Linked DNA regions of Oryza sativa Japonica Group. The main gene of each other region encodes a partner of the protein of the gene in region 2 in a complex. Links are inferred from orthologs where the notes say so. Each region holds a gene or a part of one and is shown on either strand. Other genes may lie near its edges.

Evidence for each region. The genes of interacting proteins can lie anywhere in the genome.
Region 1: small ribosomal subunit protein cS23 (region 2) and 30S ribosomal protein S31, chloroplastic share a complex: the UniProt entries of both Arabidopsis thaliana proteins name them as parts of the 30S ribosomal subunit. The link is inferred for Oryza sativa Japonica Group from reciprocal best matches to the Arabidopsis thaliana genes PSRP3/1 and PSRP4.

What each region holds. Positions count from the first base shown.
Region 1 is NC_089039.1:5,295,874-5,298,928, forward strand, and holds 30S ribosomal protein S31, chloroplastic, read right to left. Parts: upstream 1,657-3,055; 5' UTR 1,611-1,656; coding exon 1,427-1,610; intron 1,209-1,426; coding exon 1,144-1,208; intron 1,060-1,143; coding exon 892-1,059; 3' UTR 501-891; downstream 1-500. Other genes in the region: pseudo histidine-containing phosphotransfer protein 2, read right to left, coding at 2,465-2,515, 2,623-2,695, 2,794-2,865.
Region 2 is NC_089038.1:23,520,425-23,523,690, forward strand, and holds small ribosomal subunit protein cS23, read left to right. Parts: upstream 1-1,153; 5' UTR 1,154-1,205; coding exon 1,206-1,475; intron 1,476-2,319; coding exon 2,320-2,601; 3' UTR 2,602-2,763; downstream 2,764-3,266. Other genes in the region: transcription factor MYB106, read left to right, coding at 1-186. UniProt on the Arabidopsis thaliana protein: Component of the chloroplast ribosome (chloro-ribosome), a dedicated translation machinery responsible for the synthesis of chloroplast genome-encoded proteins, including proteins of the transcription and translation machinery and components of the photosynthetic apparatus.

The DNA.
Region 1 (3,055 bases), on a different chromosome or scaffold from region 2:
ATGTTAGGACTGTGGGAAAATGTTTGGTTTGTTACTTCACCAAATTTTTGAACAGATGGCGGGTTTGTTTCGTACGTTACCAAATTTTGGTAAGGTAGGGATACTCGAACATATTTGGTTCGTTATCTTACCAAAATTTGTGATGGCTTGAAATGGTAGCAAACAAAACATGCTTCAGGGTTTAGGGTTCTTAAAGCCATTGCGTAGCAGGGTTTACACTTCCAGTTTGGGCCAAAATTGTAGTATATTTCGGGCGAGATAGTTGCTTACCCTTGTGGGCGGGGGGAGCAGCTCACAACAAACTTGCAGACGAAACAACAAAAAATGACAGAATTTTAACATACAATTACCACCAAGCTGACCAGTTGAACTGGTTTGTTGTCCAGCTTTAAAGGAATATGTTTTGCAGATCATCAAAACAATTTCTTGTGTCAAAACTCAAGCGCATAACAGAGTCAACAGACAAAACAACAAAAAAGGGGCAGATTTCTGACCCGATCTGATGGACTGGTTTATTAGTTGATTCTTAAGAACTGCTTCCCAGATCATCACAACAAATTCGAAGCATGTCAAAAGGTGCTTGAATTCAGGGACACAGCTAGAAAAGAAAAAAAAAAGAGATACTGCATCTTCCCTGGTTTCTAGCAAGAACATGAAAGTTTGGTGATTGTATCTGTACTTATGTTCTGCTTCAGCTGGTAATGCATAAAAAATGACTCTAAGCAGCACCATTCATATATATTACAAGGAAAGAAATCATAGGCATCTACATTATGTAGAATGAGACCATGTAATGTACTGTAATTAATTTCAAGAAACAGTGTTTGGTACAGACTAGACAAAAGGTAAGCTCAAGGTAAACCATAATTCAAGGGGGGAAATTCAGACAACCTATTCCAGGATGTCATCGTCGATGTCGATCGGGGTGACCTCGCCGTCGTCGAACTGGTCCTTCCTCGGAGGCGCAGGCGGCGCGAACAGCCGTGCAGGGCCAGTTCCCTTCTTCTTGTTGCGCGGCCTCGCCTGAGATGAGCAAACAGCAGTCAGCAGATGGCAAGTCTGAAGAATTGCAGCAAACAGCAGCACAGGAAGCAATAAGCATATGATTTTTTTATTAATTTTATTTTTGTGCTAGAGACTCACATTTCCGTACGAGTGGTTGAACCTTTTTCCCCTCTTGGTCTTCTTGTCCCCTCTCCCGCAGTAAACTGGTCACACCAAATGGAGTAATTTGAGTTGGAATCGTAATTGGTTCAAACTGCGAGGTTTTTGTTTCAATCTATGTTTTGGTGCTGTATCAATTGAATTCGTGCAATACGATTTGAAAAGCAGTTTCATATAAGATCATCGAGCCAATTTCACACCAGACTAATCCGAATTGACGAACAAAACAGAGACAGGGAGGTTAGGTAGGCATGTCAGTTACCTTCAAGAACTGGAGTGAGCGGGGCCGAGAGGGTGGCGGCGGCGGCGGCGGCGACGCGAGAGCGGGAGCGGGAGAATGCGGCGGCGGCGGGGAGCGCGCAGTAGGAGGAGACGGCGGCGTGGTGGTGGGAGGAGGGGAAGGTGGCCGGGGACGCGGCCATGGCGTGGACGGCGAGGAGCGCCATGGAAGCGAGAGAGGAGTGAGAGCTTGAGGAATGGATGGAATCGGATAAGCTGTGCGTGCATCGGAGTAGATAAAACGGAGGGAAAGGGAAGCCCAGGCCCATGGATTGGGCTTTGTCTCTTGGGCCTATGGACCAAGCCCATGATTGGCTTGGCCCTCTGCAATTCTGATGTTTCTCTTTCTTTTTTTTTTGTCCTCTCATTTCTTTTTCTATAGATAATCATTTTTTTATGATTAAATTATTACTACTAGTATAAAACTTATGAAGAATATAGCAAAGTTATGATATTTTTAGGACTTCTGAAGACAAATCTAGCCATAACGTTTTTAAGATTTTAGAAATCGAAACGTTCAAAATGATATTGATGGTTAAAGCTCAAACACTGTTATGAATATTAGTGGAAGAGATGAAAAACCAGTGTTTTTAAGTGTCTTTGGTTCTGGGAATGTGACTATAGCGTTTGTTGAGTATACAAAGTACAAACAAATAGTTTTCCATGATGGCACCTGGGCAATTAATTAACCCAAAAAACTAGTTTACATATTACTAGTTTCAAACATTAAAAGCTCATATTAGTACCATGACACTTTCTGCTACAATTACTGACTAATAACACAAGTTCATGGCACTTTGTAGACAGGCAAGGAGAGTGTGCATAAGCAGGGCTTTACATAACTTCATACAGTATATATGGATTATGGAGCTACAGATGCAATCCAAACACAACAAAAAGGCACCATTAAGCATTATGAGTATCTGATTGGCACAAAAACTTTTCAGCGACAGAATTTTCAAGAGACTGATAGCTGCTATGTATATGTTCTTTATTTTCCTTGGAACTCATACTGTTCTTCTTACTTCCTTGAGCTCACTGCATAATCACGGGGACCAACTTGCCTCAGTAACTGCATCAGCAGAAGGAACAGGAGATAACCAAGTTGTTTAGCCATGTAGCAATGCTGAAAATAAGGTAAACAGAAAGAGAGAGAGACAAGGATGTAGTACAACATACCTGAAAATATGATTCCAGCTTCTGCTTCAGAGTGGCATGCTCCCTCTTCATCTTCTGAAGAGACCTGCGGCATCTGAAAGAGAACATGGCCTCATCACATCATGTGAGGAAATTGCATGATGATTGGATAGTATGTGAAGAACAAGTTGGACGAGTCAATGAAATGCATACCCTTCCAGATTCCTGTCATTGCAGTTTACTTTGAACACAGAGCACTCATTCTTCATCCTCAGTGCACCAATGCTGCGCCAAACACAGGCCAACTTTAGCGAATTTTGAACACATAAAGCAGGCAAAGATGACAAGCTTTCGGTGAGAACATTCATATTAACAAATAATATTTGTTCATTTCACATCAATAAGCATTCTTAAGTTTGAATGTTTTTATATTGGTTATTTAAGACCTAAGACATGATTTTACACTGATGAGACC
Region 2 (3,266 bases):
TCCTTGAACCAGATCCCGAGGCCGGCGGGGAGAGACGCGGAAGCCGACGGCGAGTTCCAGGAGACCGAGGAGGAGAAGAACTACTGGAACAGCATACTGAACCTGGTGAACTCCTCGTCGGCACCTATGTCGACGGCCGTGGTTGTGCCCGCCTCCCACGCGTACTCGCCGGCGCCGGACTTCTGAGCGGAGAAAACCTCGCCGGCATCAAACTTGATTCGATCTCATGACACAGTAAATAGTTTAGCAATGATTGTCGAATAAGATGGGACTAATATTAATGTTAGTAATTATTAATCACGTTCTTGGGTTAACCTGACAATGCTTTCGATTAAACTTGTGGGCAAGAACTTCAACTGTTCAAGGCTGTATCGACATTTGAAATTCGATGCTTGTTTTGTTCGGTGTTCTTATAGAATGTGTAAAACACTGAAACTACTATCAGAGAATGTAGCATCCTTACTTGCAAAGTTACTACTCCTGCTTGTTTTTTTTCAAAACTTACGATCATTTCAGTACTTTGTACCCGGTTCATTTCATTCCACTATCAGTTTTTACTACGCCCAAGCGGTTGGCAACTGGGCACTAGCACTACTGAAGGCCAGGGTTTCCCAAACCACCGGACCGGGGTTACCACACGGTAACCGTGTAAAATTTATCAAAATTTAAAATTATTTTTTAAATTTATTTGAATTTAAGGGGGTTACCGCGGTTTCCCTTTTACCGTACCCCACGGTAAGCGCGGTAATCGCACGGTTACAGACGGTTTTGCAAACCCTGCTGAAGGCAAACGGACGGCCTCATCTTTTCGCTTATACTTATGTTTATCAGTCAAAATTTAAATTTTTACCTTTAAATTTGGGGTTGATTTTATTTTTTTTATCGAAGGTTTATTTTTCAGTCTTTGCTTTTAGATCGTTAAAAATATATATATAAAAGATTTATTCACAAATTATTTTTTATTTACAAATATGCCATTTCGTTTATTCTCGAATAACCGAGACGATTGAGCTGTGAGCTTTTTACTTAGATTGGATCTGGGCCGGGCCGTTTTGTGCTGGGCCATATTGGGCTTTACCATAACTTTCTAGCCCACATCTAATAGCTGACGAGAAGGGGATTATTAAGGGTAAAGATAAGAGGAGGCAGCCCCGCACCATCGTCTTCCTCCTCTTATCCGCACAGGAGCCTCGGACTCGGACACGATGCTGGCGATGTCCGTCCACCCCGCCGCCACGCCGGCCCTCGCCTCGCGCGCCCGCATCTCCCGGCCCAAGCTTTCCGCCGCCTCCCCCTGCACCACCTCCTCCTCCTCCACTCCACGCCTCGTCCACCTCGGCAGCAGGAGGCTTCCCCTTCGCTCGCTCCGTGGCCTCGCCGCCGCCGCCGCTTCTGGCGCCGTCGAAGCGGAGGAGGGAGAAGAGGAGAAGCAAGTCGGAGGTGGGGATGCGAGCGCCGGCGAGGAAGCGCAGGAGGTAATGGGCTAGTAGCCGCTCCAAACCATGCCAGTGACTGAAATTACGGGGTTTTTTTTTTTACCGAGTCGAGCTCAATTTCAGAAGGAAGTGTTGTTTTTTGAAGAGGATGGAGTTCAATCACATTTGGTTTCGCATGAATTTGATTTTTCTTGAATCAATTTTGGTTACCGAACTGATTACTTGAGCTCATAGGTGAAATACAGTACGAGGTGTACATTTGGGTGAATTCACGAGTAGAGTAAATCTTTAGACACAATGCACAGCTGAAAGCTTAAGAGAAGTCACAAGTAGAGTAAATTAGAGAAGTTCTAGTCTAGTTGAGCATGTTTGGGCACTCGGGCTGTCCTTTTGGTGCAGTTTTGCACTTCTGCAGATAAAAGGTGTATGCTAGTGATGAAGAGGCGAAGAGCACATGAAAGCATGTCCACAAACTTGAGCGTGTGCCATTTTTGGTTGTATGTGTAAGCAAGAACTGAACTATTGAACAAACTGTAGCATTGACAGGTTTTGGTCATGAAAGGAGTTTTTTTTCATTCAGCTATTTACGTGATTATGTAACAACATTAACAGGCACAATAAGTTCCTTTTTCATCACTATATCAGATTTCAGAGATGTACACTAAAAGTGGATTAGTTTTGATTATATGGGAGTTACCCTCACAGTTGAAAAATGGGGCCTTTTGTAGAGAAATGAAGTTGTCAATGGAACACGTACAGTAGTTGTTGCAATTTATTTTACTACGACTTGAGCTGTGTTAAAACTGCACAATTTATTTTACTCAGATATGCAAAATCAGTATTAGCATTATGAGATTTGAAACGAATTGATTTTGTATCGCAGTACAAGGTTAAGGTGCCTGAAAGGCAGGATCCAATGCTTGTTCTGAAGTTCATATGGATGGAGAAGAACATTGGCATAGCCCTCGACCAGTTGGTTCCCGGCTATGGCAGCATTCCGTTAAGCCCATACTACTTCTGGCCACGGAAAGATGCCTGGGAGGAGCTAAGAGCAAAGCTGGAGGAGAAAGAGTGGATCTCTCAGAAACAGATGATCATCCTTCTGAATCAGGCCACTGATATCATCAACCTTTGGCAACAGGGTGGTGGCAGCTTGTCAACCTAAGAGGATATCTCAATTCTCCCATCCTTGAGAACCTTGTTTCTTTTTTTCTTGCTTTGGTTACACGGATCTTTGTTGTTACATGACCCTGTAGATCGATTCAAACTGTTTTCGGATACGGTTTTGTTTATGGAAATGAATTGTGATTGATCTCTGTAAGGTAAACGATTTGGGCTCCATCATCCGCAGGGAAGATTGCTAATACCTCTTGATACTACTATACCATGATCCAGTTAAATAAATGTAACTCGATATTTTGAACTTGAAGAAAAAGGGGAATTTCTTTTCTTTCGAAGAGATTTGGGGTCACGGGGGCATATACCCCTTCTACTGCGATTAACTAACACCGGTGATGCCCTGAAAAAGCCCGGCCCGCTCCGCGCACCACGAGCCTAGGCCGTCCACGCGTAGGCCTCTGCAAAACGGGCTGCGGCAACGCGTGAGCCTGTGCGAAACGAGCGTGAAAACGCTCGTGGACTCGTGGAGTCGTCGTGGTGCCCGCGCGTCGTGCTGCGACGCTCGTTCTCACGCCGCATGCAGCGCCGCGCCAGCTTGGTCACGGTCTCAAAAGCGTTCAAAAGGCATGGGAGCAACTGAGCAAGGCGTAGCAGCTTATCATCATCTCGGCCAAGGGGGGAGGAGGGGCAAGGCACATGGAGGCGTTGGGT